Linked DNA regions of Arabidopsis thaliana. The protein of the gene in region 4 purifies or fractionates together with the protein of the main gene of each other region. This does not show direct contact. Each region holds a gene or a part of one and is shown on either strand. Other genes may lie near its edges. The genes, in order: AT4G32470, AAC3, AT5G40810 and GAMMA CA1.

Evidence for each region.
Region 1: the proteins of GAMMA CA1 (region 4) and AT4G32470 fractionate together in Arabidopsis thaliana (co-fractionation; one large-scale study listed by BioGRID). This does not show direct contact.
Region 2: the proteins of GAMMA CA1 (region 4) and AAC3 fractionate together in Arabidopsis thaliana (co-fractionation; one large-scale study listed by BioGRID). This does not show direct contact.
Region 3: the proteins of GAMMA CA1 (region 4) and AT5G40810 fractionate together in Arabidopsis thaliana (co-fractionation; one large-scale study listed by BioGRID). This does not show direct contact.

Annotation. Positions count from the first base shown.
Region 1 is NC_003075.7:15,668,669-15,673,230, forward strand, and holds AT4G32470 (Cytochrome bd ubiquinol oxidase, 14kDa subunit), read right to left. Parts: upstream 2,582-4,562; 5' UTR 2,428-2,581; coding exon 2,334-2,427; intron 2,223-2,333; coding exon 2,065-2,222; intron 1,451-2,064; coding exon 1,403-1,450; intron 1,353-1,402; coding exon of another isoform or gene 1,352-1,352; intron 1,042-1,351; coding exon 973-1,041; 3' UTR 551-972; downstream 1-550. UniProt on the Arabidopsis thaliana protein: Component of the ubiquinol-cytochrome c oxidoreductase, a multisubunit transmembrane complex that is part of the mitochondrial electron transport chain which drives oxidative phosphorylation.
Region 2 is NC_003075.7:14,040,768-14,045,244, reverse strand, and holds AAC3 (ADP/ATP carrier 3), read left to right. Parts: upstream 1-1,897; 5' UTR 1,898-2,044; intron 2,045-2,060; exon of another isoform or gene 2,061-2,202; intron 2,203-2,435; 5' UTR 2,436-2,463; coding exon 2,464-2,934; intron 2,935-3,012; coding exon 3,013-3,384; intron 3,385-3,462; coding exon 3,463-3,759; 3' UTR 3,760-3,957; downstream 3,958-4,477. Other genes in the region: A7 (Bifunctional inhibitor/lipid-transfer protein/seed storage 2S albumin superfamily protein), read right to left, coding at 517-559, 681-850, 925-1,254; AT4G28380 (Leucine-rich repeat (LRR) family protein), read left to right, coding at 4,314-4,477.
Region 3 is NC_003076.8:16,338,077-16,343,473, reverse strand, and holds AT5G40810 (Cytochrome C1 family), read right to left. Parts: upstream 3,612-5,397; 5' UTR 3,472-3,611; intron 3,304-3,471; 5' UTR 3,275-3,303; coding exon 3,215-3,274; exon of another isoform or gene 2,886-3,214; coding exon 2,674-2,885; intron 2,566-2,673; coding exon 2,286-2,565; intron 2,204-2,285; coding exon 2,132-2,203; intron 2,042-2,131; coding exon 1,925-2,041; intron 1,805-1,924; coding exon 1,739-1,804; intron 1,264-1,738; coding exon 1,147-1,263; 3' UTR 547-1,146; downstream 1-546. UniProt on the Arabidopsis thaliana protein: Component of the ubiquinol-cytochrome c oxidoreductase, a multisubunit transmembrane complex that is part of the mitochondrial electron transport chain which drives oxidative phosphorylation.
Region 4 is NC_003070.9:6,772,752-6,778,107, forward strand, and holds GAMMA CA1 (gamma carbonic anhydrase 1), read left to right. Parts: upstream 1-1,931; 5' UTR 1,932-2,185; coding exon 2,186-2,300; intron 2,301-2,554; coding exon 2,555-2,698; intron 2,699-3,263; coding exon 3,264-3,389; intron 3,390-3,491; coding exon 3,492-3,643; intron 3,644-3,812; coding exon of another isoform or gene 3,813-3,894; intron 3,895-4,050; coding exon 4,051-4,341; 3' UTR 4,342-4,817; downstream 4,818-5,356. Other genes in the region: AT1G19565 (uncharacterized protein), read right to left, coding at 128-219, 328-380; DHAR1 (dehydroascorbate reductase), read right to left, coding at 711-1,203, 1,390-1,480, 1,605-1,662. UniProt on the Arabidopsis thaliana protein: Enzyme involved in the catabolism of H(2)CO(3) but that does not mediates the reversible hydration of carbon dioxide. Mediates complex I assembly in mitochondria and respiration.

The DNA.
Region 1 (4,562 bases), on a different chromosome or scaffold from region 4:
ATCTCATCTCTAAATTCAAATCCATATTTCTAACATTTGTGGTTGGCTAAACGAAAGTGAGCAAAAGAAAAGGATGAGAGAGAGAGGGGACAGAGAGGAAGATGGGTAACTAAAAGAATAGATCTGGCCTGAATCTATTAAAGGCTTGAGTTTCAGTCTACACACTCACATGCAAATGCTCTTTTCTGGATATGAAATATTTATATACATAACATGGGTCTCTCTATCTTATGAATGAATGATTTTACACCCTGTCCGATAAGTTATAATAAGTTAGTTTTTGAAATCCAAGTTTCATTTCCCCGATATGCCCAAAGGATCTCTTTCCATCTTCTTACACTTGCCGGTTTATCTCCTCCACAAGTAGATTTTTTGTGTATTCGTCGATTATGTTTGAACTCAACGTAAGAATTTTCGGTTGCCAAGGCCGATCATATAATAATAGTACGGATGATTCCTTCCTATCTTTTTAACTCAGTGAACTAAGAGACAAAAAGAAAACACACACCCATAGTCCCATACCATAGACTTGGACAGTTCAACGACTGGCTTTATCGGTGCCTAATAAACTCATAATTCTCTCCCATTAATTTCTCACATGAAACTGTCAATGCAAAGGATACATCAACATGGCTCGACCAAATTCCCAAGAATATGGAATCATGGCACTTCTACATTTCAATGCATAAAACTTAAACGATTCTGAGAGACCAATTATAAGAATAAAAGAGCAAACCAGACCTCGAAAATGATAAATCATCGAGACAGACTTGAGTTGCGTCGTCGATTTTATTCAAGCCAGCAAAAGCGATAAAAATGTAACTAGCAACATATCCACTTAGGAAAACTATCACAGATTTATGCTTTTTCAAATAGTAAATAGCTCTGTTCAGAAAGTGAGCACCAAAATATCAATGTTGCAGATTTATGCAGAGAAGCAGCGTTGACCACAAGAAAAGGGGAAAGGAATGCTTATGGGAGTGTGCGCTGGTATAGTGGTAGAGCTCCCAAGGCCTCTCGTTCCTTGCTTTCCCTCTCAACCTGCAAATCACAACATAAAGACAGGGATGATGACAACGATGATGGGCTATCCTTACAGAAAAGTTACACTCAGAACTTTTCAAACATTGCAAACATTTTCTTTATGATGCAATACTTCATGAAATAGGGAAATTGAAGATCTGAAAAAAACATATTGCTTCAAATAACGAAGGAAAAGACATGCATCTCATCAAAGTTTTCATCATTGTCAATGCAGGGAAGCAGATAGGCCCAAAAGAAAGAGGAAACTTTACTTCAAGAAGGAATAGTACGCTTTTATGACACTGAATTGCAGTTTGATTGTTCCTACCCTAGACGCAGATAATGATTTCTATGTTAGTTCATCAAAAAGGAGACTTACAAGAGCAAGCATGTCCTGAAGATAGCCACGGAATGGGGTCTGCACCGCCTGTATATGAAATAACCACATCAAATAAGAAAGTTACAATATCCACAACACTACCTAACAGTTGCAATTTCTGATAGCTTAATCAATTTTGGAAAACTAAAAGAGCCTTATACTTTTAAAGTTGTGAACTTTTGATAGCTTAATTAAGCCAGCAATAATAACAGTTACATTCTTATCTAATAACAACATCAAATAAGAAAGTAACAAAAATCGAAAAGTCTAAACCATAGAGTAATACAATAGTATACATGCAAACACCACTTTACTTTATTGAAAGGGAAAAAAAAAGATGTAACAAGGATTCAACCTTTCATCAATCCAAAATTTCCAATAATCTCAAGCAACAGCAGAACAAACACAGTAACGCAAGAGACAAGCATAGACTATGCATAAACTAGTTTATATACATCTAAGCTCCACAATCACAAAATCCCCAAAGTAAAGTAATATCTTCTGATGAACTAGTTTCGATTTCAATTTGATATCTTAATTTCTTCATTTTTCTAGCATTTAATCAATATTCGAGCTCAAATGCCTGGGTTACCTATCCATATTCTAGATTGATTCTAACAACATCAATTTCATCCAAAGAAATAGAGAATGAAGAATTATACCTGAAGATCCTTGGGGAGGTACTCGTGCTTCATGGAGAGGTCCATGGCACGCTTGAGACGCTGGTTACGAGCATCAACGACCTCCCTGGGCAATCTGTTCATAGCCTCTTTGATGTCCATACTGTAATACTGATCGTACAGATCATCGTACCTCAGACCTAATTAATCATTCAAACCAAACAAAACAAAGCAGATTCAGATTCACTCATGAACATTGACAACAAACTCGGATTTCAGAAATTAGGGTTATGGATCGAGAGAGATCTGACCGTATCTGCGAAGGCGAGTAGATATGGCTTTCATATGCATACGAGCGAGGAAGTTCTTCTTTGGATCGATGAATGCTTTCAGAAGCGACGCCATTTTTCTCTGTCTCTCTCAATTTCAGATTTTCTCTCTTTGTGCCAATGAAAGAGACCAAGCTGCTGTGTCTACAACAACTCCTGACCTGAGAGAGGAAATAATCACATAAGCTCTGCTTCACGTATTTATTTGGGCCTTAAGTGGCCCATCTAAGCTTCACGTATTTTTGACATATATAGGTCACGTACTCACGTAGTAATATTTGGGCCTTAAGTCGCTCAGCTGTAGCGTCATTTAAGGCCCAGTGATAACTTGTATTTAGATTATAAACTAACTTGTCTTAATAATTCACAAGAAGCACCAGTGGTCTAGTGGTAGAATAGTACCCTGCCACGGTACAGACCCGGGTTCGATTCCCGGCTGGTGCAAATTTTTAGTGACCCTTTTGTTTCGTGTTTCACAAATACATGCATTTAACTCTTATTCGATCCTACTTAAAAAAAAAAAATGGGGGAAATTTAAGTTGTAAAATCCACTAAACTCATGTGAATGTTATGTATAGGCAAAGCTAGTTGTATGAATGGTAACTAGATTAATCACAAAATTGATATACCAGTTGTGAAAAAAGAGGGTTTAATTTAATAGCTGGAATGAGAAATGATAATCTTGTTATATAGATGAGGTAAGTTAAACAATTATAATTGTATCTTCATTCTTTACTCTAGACGAATTGGATTCCGGCTAACACCACTACTTGAGAGTTGAAAGGCATGTTTTTGTCTGCTTATGATTAAATTAACTTAAAAAGTGATTAAGTATCGTCTCAAGTTGCAAGTGTAATTTAAGGTTAAAATGTTGTGACTTTAACAAAAATACTCTCAAATCTTGTGTTCCCACTTTCTTAGCAAAGCATTTTAAACAGTTTCTTGTCAATATCTAAACTAACTTTAATTAAGGTTAGGTTAAAGAGATAATCATGCATGTAGTAGGTACTTGATTTAGTTTGATATATTTTTAGTTTGGTGGGATTTTTGATCACGACCCATATCCTAATTGCTATTTTTTAGCCACGAAGTCGTCGTCATCATCCTTATCGTAAAATATGAAGTAGGCCTAAAGTTCAGTCCCATTTAGCTTCATGAGTTCATAATTTTTGTTTTCCAAATAATTGTGTTCCGATAATAACGCACAACTATGAATTGTAAAAGTTTGTTTTGTTTGTTTCAAAAGACAACCATATATAACTCGTCTGACTGAGTGGTTAATGCATGTGGGCATGTATAGTGACTATATGAGCTTGTCTCAATATTTGATGTTTTGAACAGTATAAACCGGTTTTAGCTTAGCACATAATACTCTCTCTGCTAAGCTCACGTTAATTTAATTAGATATATATTTATCAAATCACATAAAATTATATTGTATGGCAGAATTATTCAAGCAAATGCGTATATAAGTTATAAAATTTGGAGTGATGAACTGATGATTAACTTTACTGGACTGAAATGTTTTAAAAATTGTGTAGACTTGGTCTTTCTTTTACACAAAATGTTATAATTCGCTGATAAACAGCTTTCATAGCACATGGTTTTGGCCTCAATGGCAGTTAATTATTCAGTAACTAATTAATATCACGTTTGCCTTCTTTTTAATTGGCCCTTTTTGGCCGTCTCAATTTTTTTTTTAAAATGGAAATTATAGTTTAGTTTAAATTTTGTACTGTCACAAATTGTTGTCATATTGATAGTAGTTATCTTTATTTAAGATTTGATTTTTACACTTTTACACAACATTCCAATATTTCATAAGTGTTTGATAGTGAGGTCCATATATATTACACTGAAAAGTTGTATTTAATTTATATGATGAATGCAAATTGCCTTAATTTATTAGATAAACAACACTTTGTAGATCATTAAGAAATGGAACTTTAGTAGCACTTTAATTGTTTTTGCTTGGACATTAGATTGATTGTGAACTTTGATTTGATTATTGTTGCTTTATAAAAACACAATAAAGTGTCTACAGATAGATATTTAGGATACAATGTTTTAGATTCTTATTTTTAGGATGGGAATATCCCATCAGTCTAAATGCTGGGAGACAAACGAATTTATGAAAAAAAAGTATTCCATATTGATTCCTTCTTATCCCACTCTTCTTCCTGAATAAAGCTCTTAAATTCAAGAACTAAA
Region 2 (4,477 bases), on a different chromosome or scaffold from region 4:
TGGTAACTTGGTATATGGAAATTATGTAACATTGTATTATAGCTGATCGATTGAAATAATCGTGGCTTTGAAAGTGTTGGATCTACTCTGCTGAAGTCACTGGATGTATTTAATTAGGTTGTTGCCATTTACTCATCTGTTAAAAAACAAAATTTTAAACCACGTTCCTCTTTGTAAAAAGCTAAAAGCCTCGTTATGTTATCCGTTTGGCTATGTAATTATAAGTGTAGAAATGTCACGAGAGCCAGAAGTTTTGTCCTTAAGTTTTGATTCTTAATGGACAATTTTGGCATTTTTTGCTTCCCGTAATAATGGTTATTGTAAAAACTAAGAAATAGAAGAGAAGCCATATCTGATGAATATACATATATATAATCGCTTACAGAAAATTCTTCGTACTTTTGTAACACTAGTCACTATTACATCTACAATAAACTCGATTATATATCATTTGTAACTATATAGAACTGTTACAAGGCTTCCCTTCCCAATATTCATAGATATATATCCTGGTAGTTAATTTAATTTCTCAACGTCGGGATTCTTGGTGTTTCTGAACCTGTAATGACAAAATTATACCAGTTCATTAGTTCCTTTATGCACAAGGAAAAATGTAATATATAACATTTTCTTCTAGGAAAAGATTTTTAAAAAACTATGGAGAGAAGAATGAAAATAACTGAGAACAGTCCATATCAACGGAGATGGGAAAGCTGAGAGTAAGAGAACAACGGAGAGGAAGGTTATTAATAGCGGCGGGAAGAAAAGGAAGATGATTTGCATTTCCCATTATCTCAATGCACAGACACACTCTCTCTGTTTCTCCACTATCCTGCCTATTCCTCGATCCCTGCGTAGTTAATATAATTATAGATGGTGAAAGAAGAAACCGAAATAGAAGAATCGAGAATTAAGTCTAGTAACTGGAGACGTAAACTTGACGACGTTGTTCAAGTGGGTCACGCCTCTGCAGCAATCTGGAGAAGGTTGTTGAAATATTCCCTCGACGAAGCCCATGCAGGGCATGAAACTCACGAACACGTCTCTGCAATGTTCCAGCGGATTATTGTCCTGGGAAACGGCGGTCTTCATCAGGACCAAGAACGCTACTACCAATATGGCATGTATCTTCATTGAACTCAGTACACTAGCTAGCGAAGGTGATATATATGATTCGTGTACGAAGAGAAATCTATATCTATATATTATATATATAGTAATCAATTCGTTTCTAAGGTGGAGTTTATTATGCATGGCTTAGTTTAATGAACACATGTAGTTCTCATGTTTCCTTCTTACTCGGATGAATTCCAGCTGAGTTCTCTTTTAGTTTTCTTGAATCTTTTGAAATAATCTACCTACACATATTAAGGTTATTGCATGTAATTCGAGTTTATTTTATATCGCATGACATGTATGATGTGTCTTGTTATCTAATACATGAGCCGATATCATTGCCTATATTCTGGTACTCTCAATACGTATCGGTTTGTTTCATTGTTTGTAGAACATTTCTCTAACTAGTTTTGGATCACTAAATTCGAACCACATCACCTTCCTTGCATCTGTAAAGTTCTGTCCGGCTGAAGAAGAAAAAAAAGATTCAACTTTCTTTCTTGCTTCTTAAGTAACATCCAATTTTTTAAGACCTAGTTAACAAGCCTCTATTATATTTTTCCGGCAAACCAAAAAAGTCTTGATTATTGTTCTATTTTTCTATATTTAATTTTCAGGTAGATGAGACATATATCACATAATGATAAAGAGGTCTCTCACTTTCATTAGGTATGAATTTTATCTTCCTAGGAAAATAAATTTTGGGTCCATTTAGAAGAAGTCAAGACTCGGGTCCCTTAAAATTGGGCCCAGAAAGAAACGGGTCAAAGGAGTCCAGTAGCATTTTCGTAATTGTACCTTCTCTTCTGCTCAGTTTCGTCTTTTAGTTTAGGACCAGAAGTCGAGAATCATGTAGAAACCTACTCTTCTCGCAATTTTCCACAGCTCTCTCTCTCTCTCTCGTTAACGCTTCGGCGAAAAATCCACGGTAAGCTCTCGACTCCAGAAGTTCTAGCTTTATCATTAATGCTTCTCTCCTAGCTCTCTCTGTTTTTTTGTTCTGCTTCTCGTGAATTCTGTTTTCTCGACGCCACTCGTTGCTTGATCTTTTAGAAACAGAGGATTTAATTGAGCTGCTGCAACTAGGTTTTAATTTGTGCTAATTAGGTCGCATTATAGTTGACAGATTGAAATGGTGTCTTTAACGAAGCTAACTAGGATCGTATGAAATGTGTTGATGATGTCTTCTCTGTTTTTGTTCCAGTTTTGGTTATGATCATTCTTTTTTAAGCATGCAAATATAGAAATTTTCGAGAAAGCAAGATTTTGTGGTGTTTAATTTGTATTTTTGTTTTGTTTTGTTTTGTTTTGTTTTTCAGAGTCAGCTTTTACTGATTTGTACAAAAAATGGATGGATCAAAGCATCCATCAGTCTTTCAGAAGCTACATGGACAATCTTACTTGATCAATAGACTTTCTCCGAGTGTGCAAGCTCGTGGTTACTGTGTCTCTGGTGCTTATGTCAATGGAGGTTTGCAGAGTCTATTGCAGCCAACTAGCCATGGCGTTGGCTCGTCTCTTATACCTCATGGTTCATTTCCTGTATTAGCTCACGCTCCTAGTGAGAAAACTGGTACTGGTTTCTTGATCGATTTCCTTATGGGAGGAGTCTCAGCTGCTGTTTCGAAGACGGCAGCCGCGCCTATAGAGCGTGTGAAGCTCTTGATTCAGAATCAAGATGAAATGATCAAAGCTGGGCGTCTCTCTGAGCCATATAAAGGAATCAGTGATTGTTTTGCTCGAACAGTCAAAGACGAAGGAATGCTTGCTCTTTGGAGAGGAAACACTGCCAATGTTATCAGATACTTCCCCACTCAGGTTTGTTTTCTCTTCTTTGACGTGGTATTTGTATAGACGTCGAGATGGGTATGCTAAGCAAATAGTTTTGTTTTGCAGGCTTTAAACTTTGCGTTCAAAGATTACTTCAAGAGGCTGTTTAACTTCAAGAAAGAAAAAGATGGCTACTGGAAGTGGTTTGCAGGGAACCTGGCGTCTGGTGGTGCAGCTGGTGCATCATCTCTGCTTTTTGTGTACTCTTTGGATTACGCTCGTACCCGTTTAGCCAATGATGCGAAGGCGGCCAAGAAAGGTGGTCAGCGGCAGTTTAATGGCATGGTCGACGTGTACAAGAAGACTATAGCCTCTGATGGCATTGTCGGGCTTTACCGTGGTTTCAACATCTCATGCGTTGGAATTGTCGTGTACCGGGGGCTTTACTTTGGATTGTATGATTCCTTGAAGCCTGTGGTTCTAGTTGATGGTCTCCAGGTAAAAAACAAAGAAAACTCCTCACTTCAACATATTGAGTCCTCTGTTACTGTTTACTCATTGCTATAATCTGTACAGGATAGCTTCCTTGCTAGTTTCTTACTGGGATGGGGAATCACCATTGGAGCTGGATTGGCGTCTTACCCAATTGACACGGTTCGCAGAAGAATGATGATGACGTCAGGTGAAGCAGTGAAGTACAAGAGCTCTCTTCAGGCCTTCTCTCAGATCGTCAAGAACGAAGGGGCCAAGTCACTCTTCAAGGGTGCAGGTGCCAACATCCTTCGTGCGGTTGCAGGCGCTGGTGTACTGGCCGGCTATGACAAGCTCCAGCTCATTGTGTTGGGTAAGAAGTATGGCTCTGGTGGTGGCTAAACGATGAGGATGATGAAAGAATAGCCCTTGAGGTCTGTGAATGAATAAAGCAGTGTGTCCGTTCGTATAAATGTTGCTTTTAGAATATAGAGTGTCTCTGTCAAGTTGTGGCCCTTTGTCTTAGTTCTATACTTCTATGACTTTTGTTGACAAAAGAATAAATACAAAGAAAACCAATACCATGTTTATGTTTTTTGTAGTTAAAACAGTTTTAGTGAATATTATCAGTTAAAAAGTCAACATAAGCTGAGAGATCAAAAGAACTTTAAATGTATGGTTATGCGAAAGTTTGTATAATTCAGATTCGGTTTCCTTGGGTTGTAAGCGAATGAGTGATCTAAGTCCAACACTAAGATTTGGTCTTCAAATGTGTCAGTCTCAAATCCCACTTCAAACCACTCCAGACAGCTACAAGTAAGGAGTTAAGTCCTTTTCCTTGATCTTATACCACTACCTGATTCATCCTCTGTAATCGTTGCACCAAAGACCAAACTTATTGTCTTTATATATAAATCCACCACACTTAAGACAAAGGATCCATAACTTGTCTTTGAATGGCTCTCTCTATAACATTTCCTGTCCTTATCTCAGTTCTTCTTTATCATTTCTCTTTAGTATCAACAGCAAAACATAGCCTTCACCACCACACAAGTCACTCCACAAACCCTAAACAGCATCTTCAGCAAGCGTACCGTGCACTTAAAGCATGGAAGAAGGT
Region 3 (5,397 bases), on a different chromosome or scaffold from region 4:
TAAAGTGAAGACTGATTTCCTGATAGATGATGTTTGGGTTTAGGCGATGGGAAAATCCGAATCGGATTCGATATTAGCAGCGGATCAGGCACGTTTGCTGCTAGAATGGCTGAAAAGAATCTGAATATTATCGGTATTACATTAAATATAGATGCTCCTTTCAGCGAATTCATAGCTACAAGAGGGATTTTTCCGTTGTTCAGAGGGAGTTTGGATTAGAGATTCCCGTTCTATGACAATGTTTTTGATCTCATTCATGCTTCTAACGGATTGGATTTAGCGGTTAGTAGTAAACCCGAGAAGCTAGAGTTCTTGATGTTTGATCTTGATCGGATCTTGAAACCCGGTGGATTGTTCTAGTTAGACAATTTCTATTGCGGTAATGATGAGAAGAAGAGAGTTCTTACGCGTTTGATAGAGAGGTTTGGGTATAAGAAGTTGAAATGGGTTGTTGGAGAGAAAACTGATGCTGAGGTTTTTCTCTCGGCTGTTCTGCAGAAGCCTGCCAGGATTTGATTGGTTTTTTTCTTCTTTTTAATCAAGATTTTGATCTTTTCATAGGTTATAAAAATTTGAGCTCATTACATTTTTATAAATATTGATTCCAAGGGACAATTAAAAGTGTGGACTTGTATTTTGAGGTTTTGTCCGATCCTGCATGTTTGTTTCATTGTCTGTAGGATTGTGCAATTTTGTTTGGTAATGTCTTAACGGAACTGGTTTTACATTAACGGGTCTAAATCCTGCCTACATTTTTCTAAGTTTTACAAAATCGAGTTCGCAACAGAGGTAAATTGGTTGTTCTGTGGAGTTTTGGTCTATCAGAAATAGACCACAGATTTTAACTTTTTAACTTTAATAGTTACAAAATCATGTTTTGTGATATACAAATAGGAGAGAGATTGTAAAACCACATTTTTATTAAGACAAACCGAGTCCGGTTTAGGAGACAACAAACCAAAAAGAAATAATATAATCTCAAAATCATGTGTGACTTGAGGTTAAAAAAGCTTTACTTCTTTGCCTCATTAGACTTTCTAAACAATAAACAAAGAAACATGTCTTTTGAGACAAAAAGTGGGATTCACCATTTATCCCTTTCAAGATTAATGATTATTACCCAGAGAAAAGGTGATCTTCACGGGATTAGTTAACAACGTCGAGAACAAGCTTACGGGATTTGAGTACTGACCATTTCAGTCTCCTGTAATACGCAGCTTGAAGCAGAGCCAAAGACAGTAAGAATATCCATTTGAACCCCATCTGCACACACATACAACCAACGTTAACAGATATCTAAGCACAAAGAGTTGGATTCTCGGTATAGCGGGTTTTTTTGGGTCGGTTTAGAACCAACATGACGGTTTTGAATACAGAGTAACAATACGGTTCATGTTTGATAATAGTTTTGGTCTGAGATTAGCAGCCTCAAGAAACAAGCAGTAGTGTGGTCAACACAACTATGCAACTAGGTGTGTTCAACACAACTATGCAACTAGGTGTGTTCATCCCGCTATACAGAAGACAGAACCAAGGAAATCTTAACACGGATAAAATGGCGATACTTTTTCTACATCCAAAACCAATCTATACTATGCCGGTTTAAGTTTGGTAACAATTTTCTCAAACTGAATCTGAAAATCAAATAATCAGAATCCAGATTGATATTCCTATTGCAATCTCGTACATATGGAAACGACAGCTTAAAACATGGAATATATGAAACTAAGAAACTTACCAATTTCCTCTCTTCCATCTCTGGTTCAGCTGCCCAGGACAAGAAGGATACAACATCTTTACCCATCTGCATCATGTTTTTTAAAAAAAGAAAAATTAAAGATTATATAATTGACTCAGAGGAAAGGTCAAATCTGATAAAACTTTATGGTCTGCAAATTATTTTCTTAAGCAGAGGAAAACTAACCTGTGCTTCTGTTGCAGGAGTTCCATCTTCATATTCCACAGCTTCATCGTTGAGCATTTTTGGCATAGCGATTGCTCCACCAGGGAAATAAGGATTGTAGTGTAGCCCCTCTCTGATCTGTACCCGTTAGTCACAGGATTATTTCTAACTTCCAACAATTTGAAGTTGTAATAACAAGTCTAAAGCAAAAATAGGAGAGAAATTTACCGAAATTCCAGCAGGAGGATCACGATAACCAGTCAACAGAGCAAAGACATAATTTTGGCCATTGTGACGTGCCTGGAAGAAAATAGCCAAATTGCTTAGATCATAGTAGATGAATTTTCTAATTGTATACAAATGGAGAGAAAGAGCACCAAACCTTAGTTACAAGACTTAGATCCGGTGGATACGCTCCTCCATTGGCGAACCTAGCAGCCGATTCATTTGAGTATGGTTCAGGAAGCCGATCACTGAGTTTACCAGGTCGGGTGAACATCTCACCCTCATCATTTGGTCCATCAACAACCTCGATTTCAGCTGCCATGGCCTTCGCCTCTTCCTCTGTGTAGGCAACACCCACCAAGTCTCGGTATGAGATCAGAGACATCGAATGGCAAGACGCACAAACTTGCTGATAAACTTGGTGACCACGACGGATCCTGCTCATTACAAATCAACCGTCAGTAAAGCAGTCTCAAATTTCTCTAATTTTCAACTTTAGTGTTGCAATTTCACTATGATGATTGAATTGTAGCTTGAACACTCACGAAGCATGGTCATATGAGCTGAGAATGCCCTCATGTGGCCAAGGGTAGTTAGGACACTCCAGACCATGTTCAGCCTCATCAGCAGATGCAACAGTAGAAAAACTCAATAATCCGGTAATACCAGCACCCATGAGAGCAAATGCTCTTAAACCAGCAGACCCAGCATCTTCATTCGCTTTCTTCGAAGACAACCATGACAATACCGGAGTTGCCTATGGTGGTAGATAATACAGAACAACAGTAAGAAAACAAAAAAAAAGGCCAAGACACAAGAAGGTGTATGCTCAACAAATCAAAAGACTACTTTTTCTGAAAAGAAATCGAATATTAATCATACTCTCGAAGCACAAATCAATAAGTCTAAGTTTCTTATATCCCAAAATCTCCAACGCCACAACAATTCCAGTTACAATTCTTCAAGGACAATCTCTCAGAGCAATGAAGGTGTAGACAGAACCAAAACAAATCATATGATTCTATCTTCAAACAGATCCTAAGCTACAGCAGAAAATCAAAAAGATGTAACAGGGAAAAAGCTCACGACTGATTGGGAATGAAGTTTCCTTCTAAGAAGCTGCCGGATAACTCCTCCTCCAACCATTGGATGAACACTTGTACCAATCGATCTCACTGATACAAACAGAGAAGATTCTCAGCCATTACATATACCCGAAACAATGAGTAAGCCCTAGAAAACTCGATTCTCTATATAGATCCGAAGTTCCAACAAATAAACAAAATTGAATGAAGAAATGGCAGATTCGGATATGAGATGTGTCGAATCGAGAAAATACTCACAGGAAAATGAAGCAACGAGATCGGCGATTGACGAACAGAGGAGGAGGAAGAAGAAGAAGAAGAAGAAGAAGAAGTAAACAGCTACCAGAGAAAATGGATGTCTCCGGATGACGCGACTGGACTGTCACACACAACACAACAACACCTTTCAGATTTTTCAAGTATCATGGGCCTAATTTAATCCATTAAAAGCCCATTAAGGGCCTATCCGTACAGTCAACAGCCAAAAAAAATATCTGGAATATTTCTCATTGGAATAAATGGACCAAATCTTGAAATTTAGTAAAGGGAGACTTTGTGTAAATGATCTATGTGTTGTTGTTTTTTTCAATAGTGAAGAGTTCATTAGTCCAGAATGTTCAATTACAAAAAGATTAACACAGGCTGAGATCGAGATCACATTCTGGCTTGTTTAGTAAATATGTCGATCGATAAATTATTATGGCTTGCATTAACTCATTTTATAGGGTCCAAAGCGAGGCTGCTTTGAATCTAACATGCATTATTGTAGTTCAATATCGAGAGGCGCAAATTTGAAAATACAACATATGTTTCGTATGCTCTCGGGATACTACATCGACTCCAAAATTATAATCTTCCTTAAACTTGAAAATGTGTTTCAATTTTACATAGTACGGGAAAATGTAAATGAGAAATTACATGTTCGCTTTTGCTAGGTAAGTTCATATATTAATTCCCACAGGTTTGTGAATGTTCATGGTATGTTTAATATCTGTTACTCATCTTGAATATCTTTGCTGAATAGAATCTCTTATACCTAAAAACAGAATTTTAATTAAGCAGGAGAAATTCTCATCATGACTCAACTCAAGCCGAATCATTAGGTTTTTGCAATCATAAGTTGTGGTTCGGAAAACGAATTTGGAATCATCAGAAAATTAATGAATGAGACATCGTCCTGGAAGCTTTTCTACATATTTTCAAGCCACGAAACAGTAACTTTCTTAATATGTTGATTGGTGAGTCCTTTAGTGTCTCAAGTGGAAGTAGTTTTTCATTTATGAGAGATGATTTAATATGAGTCGGTTTGAATGCTATGCATTTCCTTTCGTGTCTTAGAGAAATGCCTCTATTATGTTTTGGCTTTGGGGAATACCTCCTTTAATTATGTTTTAAACTTTGTGATCTTTGAATCACTCCTTCTTGTACTTGTTTTTATGTGAATGAATGAAAACAAGCCTTTGTAAAAAAAAAAACATATTCTTCTCTTAACTTTATCTACAAGGACCATTCAGCTTTATCAAAATTAAAAGCTATGCTATTATCTTGTCTAAGAGCTAGATAGCGATCTGCTTTTATTGGTGGTATGAAGGAAAAGTATAATTATATGATTAAGTATGTCATTATAGTAATTTTTCTACCTAAATGAATGTTAATTAATTTAGTTTATTTTGGGATGAGGCACCTCCCCAGCAGGTATCTTAATAACATATCAAATAAGGGTTTCGATTTGAGACATGTTTCCACATTGTATCACGAATTGTTCATCAGTGCCTAATTAAGAAAATATACAGTTTAAAATTTGTGATTTTAAAATAATAGTAATTTTCTTATAATTAAAAAATATTTATGTATCATGACCAACGCCTATTTGCTTGTAATGTCGGGTTACTTTCACTCCTTTATCAAAATTGTATCAAATTTTTGTATTTGCGTATAATAATTGTATTATAATGTTTATATATTTTGTAACCTTGTTTTATATCAATATATCTGATTTGACAAACAAAAAAAAGAAATTAAACAACCTAACATTATTTCTTTCAGAATTTAGTGTGTGTTTATAGGATTTTAAATCTAATTTTATATGAGGTATTAGATAGTGGTAATGTATTATGTTAAGAAACGAACTTAAATAATAATAAAATAATAAATATGATTTTTATTGGGTTTTATGACAAGTGA
Region 4 (5,356 bases):
ATGCAAATCATGAAAATCGCTGGTCATCCACAATAAAATCCGATTACCTTACGACTGCTGACGGTGCGACTATAACTGCCTTCTCCCAGGAACATTCTTGGAAAATCTCACCCAACCCTACATTCACCCGCCCAAGAACATTGTATCGCAGAACGATATGGTTGATTTGTGGGATGTAAAGATCGGTAAGACTCTCGAGTCTCGACAAGACTTATGTTTCTGAGGAAGAACTCCTCAAAACCATCAAAGGTGATCAGTTAAACCATAAAAACAGTTTCTGATATCCAATATTCATCAGTCCAAACTCCAAAGTATTAAACGAGTCACTTGCATTTGCAGAGACCCAGCCTCCAATGGATTTTTTTGTGGGTTTGATCCATACGGTCCTTGCGAAGAGCGACTTTACCTCCTTGACTATAGATCCTTCTTTTGGAGTTAAGACTTCTGAGCTTTATCCTGAGGTCAAGTACACAAGTACTGTCGATGAGTTTCTTAAATAATTTGTCTGAAAAAACCCTTGTCCCTTATGTTACGTGTAGCCAGTGTTTATCCGAGTTTCGATATGGAGGCAAATCTTATTTCAAAATAGGCTTCTTATTTGATTGATACAGTACATTACATAAAAAGGTCCAAGTACATTATTTGACTGATATAAGAGAGAGACCTTGAACAACATTACCACACCAACGATCTCATAACGGTGCATAGTTTCAAGGGTTAACCTTGGGAGCCCATCCAGAGATCACATACTTTTCCTCGGTCTTAGTTTTCTCAAAAGAGTCGAGCGAGAACAGAGTCTTCATGTAGTTATGGACATGGGGAAAGCTCTCAGGGACAGACCAGCTTTTGAAATGGCCAAGAGCAACTTGAAGGTGGTAAAGCTTTGGTGCTAAGCTTAGATCCACTGCGGAAACTCTTTCTCCGGCGATAAAAGGGCCATCGTGACTCTTAAGATGGTTTTCCAAAGCTTCTAGCTCAACAAGCAAGGCATGTTCAGATCCGTCATTGGAGTCTTTGCTCTTCAAGAATGTCCCAAAAGTACCAAAAATGTTGGATCCAACAGAGGCAAATTCAGCAGGAGTCTTGAGTGGTGGATCAGGATACTTCTCCTCGAGTATACCAACGATGACGTCGGAATCAGTCACCCACTTGTCGTCGATCTTAAGCACTGGTACTTTCCCTTGAGGACTAATGTCCAAGAACCTGCATCATATATAAAACCAAAGCCACCAATTTCAAGTTCCGGTTAACACAATGCTCGCACATGAAGCCAATCCAATTTCCGGTTAACACAAAGCTCGTACCAGTTACAAGTAAAATTTCAGAGATTATGGCTAAACAAGTTCAAACTAGACCGATCTTAAGGGTTTAGGCGTGAGAGAAACTGACCACTGGGGTTTGTCAGAGAGGTTAATCAGATGGATTTTGTAGGTAAGACTCTTCTCCTCGAGTGTGAGAAGAGCCCGTTGGCTGAACGGACCTAAAACGACAAACAAACACTTAAATTAGTAAATTTACCAACGATCAAAGCTCAGAAATTAAGAATTGCAAAATCAAAAGCTTAATGCAAAACAAAAACAGAGAGAGAAAGAGAAGATGGTTACAGTCGCCGAGATGATCAGGAGCACCAACAGCAGCTTTCACACAGATTTCCAGAGCCATCTTGATTCTTCTTCCTTTGTTTGCAGAGACGGATGAATGATTGAGTTAATCAGTGAGAAGGCTTAGCTTTTAAACTGAATTATTACCATTCTCCACCCACCAGTGGGCCATTTTTACCCGATGTTTATCTTTTCTCACGTGTTATGCGTTGCAAGTGACGACGATACGAAACGACATTGTTACTGATAGGGCCATTTGATTTTTGGTCGGCAGGTTTTGGACCGTTCAATTTAGTGAAAATATAGTAATAAATTCGTACCGAATAATATAATCGGTTTAATGAAACTACTACCTGAAATATCGAATTAGATTTGGTTCATATTTCGTATTGTTTTGGTTCGATTAAACCATATTAAACCACTGTAACTGTAATTTATTGTTTCGCCGTCCCGGAATGTTCCTGTTGAAATCCATTTTCGCTGATTTTTTTTCTTCCGTCTCTTCTTCAGCTTCGACCATTTTCGTCTTCTTCATTCAGTGTTGAGTCCTCGTTTACCTGTGAGCTCGAAGAAAGTGACGATCAATGGGAACCCTAGGCAGAGCATTTTACTCGGTCGGTTTTTGGATCCGTGAGACTGGTCAAGCTCTTGATCGCCTCGGTTGTCGCCTTCAAGGCAAAAATTACTTCCGAGAACAACGTAAGATTCTGCGTAACTCTATTTTTCACTCCGATTTCGAATTCGTAAAGAGTGAGGAGTTTCGATTGGGTAATTCAGCTCACCTATTCTGGTTAGGTTAGAGATCTGGAATTGATGTCTTTGTAGGTATAGCGATTCTGGATTCGAATGGCACAAGGGATTAATTGATGTGGAATGTGTTTTGCTGCTTAGTTTTTTTTTTGTTTCCTGGTCACGAAATTTGCTTATATGTAATTGTGGTTTTCTCTGTGTAGTGTCAAGGCATCGGACACTGATGAATGTATTTGATAAGGCTCCGATTGTGGACAAGGAAGCTTTTGTGGCACCAAGCGCCTCAGTTATTGGGGACGTTCACATTGGAAGAGGATCGTCCATTTGGTATGGATGCGTATTACGAGGTGAGCTAGCTACTAAGCCTCAATGTTTGGTGTTTGGTGGTTGACTATTTTAGTGACTGAAGTTTTGTTTGAAATAGTATCTACTTCTGTATCCTTAGCTGTGTCAACTCTTACGATAGAAAATAGTGAACGAATATCTGTTTTTTACTCTTCTGGTTAAGCGATGAACAAGACTACTACTCAAAATGGAGCTTTCTAGCTTTATTGAAGGATCTTAAACAGATCATTACTACATATCGTATCTTGATGATACTGGCAGTTGCTCTAATGGGTGATTGGGTATATGATATCCCCAATCATATACAGAATGCTTTCATGTCATAACACCAGAATTAGTTGAACGATATCATATACAGATTATTGAGTTTGAGTTGAATCCTTATTGCGAGTATGAGTTGGCTAGTCTGGATTTTTATTTAATGGTGATGAAATAGGGTTGTCCTTTTTACAGAATGCTTTCATGTCATAACACATTGGTACTGTATGGCTAAGCCTGTTAGTACTTTACCAGGAAACTGGGATAACATACAATCTAAACTTGCTTTCTCTCTTTTTTTCTGCGCAGGCGATGTGAACACCGTAAGTGTTGGGTCAGGAACTAATATTCAGGACAACTCACTTGTGCATGTGGCAAAATCAAACTTAAGCGGGAAGGTGCACCCAACCATAATTGGAGACAATGTAACCATTGGTTAGTGGGAATCTCTTACTCACTGTTTATTTTGAAAATGTTTAATATGCATACATCTCCAAGAAGCATTTGGGATATAGTCTTAAATTAAATGTGTAACAGGTCATAGTGCTGTTTTACATGGATGTACTGTTGAGGATGAGACCTTTATTGGGATGGGTGCGACACTTCTTGATGGGGTCGTTGTTGAAAAGCATGGGATGGTTGCTGCTGGTGCACTTGTACGACAAAACACCAGAATTCCTTCTGGAGAGGTATGATTTTGGGTTTAACATTTCTGATTACCTGAAAACCCACAAGTAACCATTGGTGCGGGTATACTTCTATTGCTACTTAGACAGCATAGGCTATATTATTGACATTATTAGTGTCTTTCTTTCATTGGCTGAAAGTATTGGAGGTTGGTGTGAAATTGAAATACAGTTTCTAGTCTTGAGAATTCTTCTCCTCTATCTGGATAGAACGTATCTTATCCACTTTTCAGATGCCCTAACAGATTATAAATGTTAGTTAGATGAAAGTGGAAATGTTCTTCTAGCTATGGTTTATCTGCATATGAATGCCAAAGGGTGTTAGTCTCTCATCATGGCCTTAAAATTTACTTCATCCGCCATATTGACTGACAGAGTTAAAATGTTCGCATTGGTCTATAATGACTCAGGTATGGGGAGGAAACCCAGCAAGGTTCCTCAGGAAGCTCACTGATGAGGAAATTGCTTTTATCTCTCAGTCAGCAACAAACTACTCAAACCTCGCACAGGCTCACGCTGCAGAGAATGCAAAGCCATTAAATGTGATTGAGTTCGAGAAGGTTCTACGCAAGAAGCATGCTCTAAAGGACGAGGAGTATGACTCAATGCTCGGAATAGTGAGAGAAACTCCACCAGAGCTTAACCTCCCTAACAACATACTGCCTGATAAAGAAACCAAGCGTCCTTCTAATGTGAACTGATTTTTCAGGGGTATGTTTTCTGGCCGAAGCCCTACAGGGTGAGATACTCAAGGGGATTATGTTTCGGTCTCTGGTTTGAATATGGCAGGTAGAGTACATTAGGGTAGACGGATTTACAGCTTTTGAAGAAGCTATGTTCAACATTTTTTCATGGTTTCTTAGGGAGTATTATTGTCTAATCAAACTTTGTATGTTATCACTTCGGTCTTTTGAACGTAAGAATCAAGTTCATGAAACATGAGTGAATATTAGTCTGATGCATGTGCGTATGCAAAAATCCATGTGCGCCTATGTTGCTAGGCAAGCATGAAGAATAAAGATCCAAACTGGATATATCATATATTTATCTTTTTATAATTACTGCAAATTATTAGTGGGGTTGATGGTATTGGTACCGTGAATTACGCTTGCTTGGTCGTCTTTTTATTTTTTTGATAAAATCAAATCTTGTATCGTGTATCTATTATTATGATTCGTCTCCTTCCTTTTGTCAAAGGCCGTTTCTTTTCTTGAGATTTATCTTTTGTTTTCTAGCTTTCTGGCTGTCGTTCTTTTAGGATTCAAGTATTCAACCATTTGTTACAATAATACTAATAATTGGATTTCTCCCTTGTCACTTTGTAGATCTCAACTAATGGGCCATTTTTTCTCTCAATTTGAACCACGAGACATGGTGTTGGAAATTTGAAACGGTAGATTGTGTAAAATGTTCACCAACTTAGACATCGCAAGCCTTATAAAACTTACGGTAAACAGATCAAAAATCCTTACAAACAATGACCAAAGAAACAGTACGATTTTGCAAGCTGACGGAATTTACAAATTGCACTAATCTATATCATAGTTTCATGTAACAACAACAATGTTTTTAGAGTTTATAATAAGAAAAATTTTAATTGATGTAACAAAAAAAAATATGTAGTGTGGGAAACTTTAAAACATATCAGTGAGTTTAGATAAAAATTTGAAAGTTTTAACTACAATTACTAAATGACCCACGTAATAGCGAGTCGTA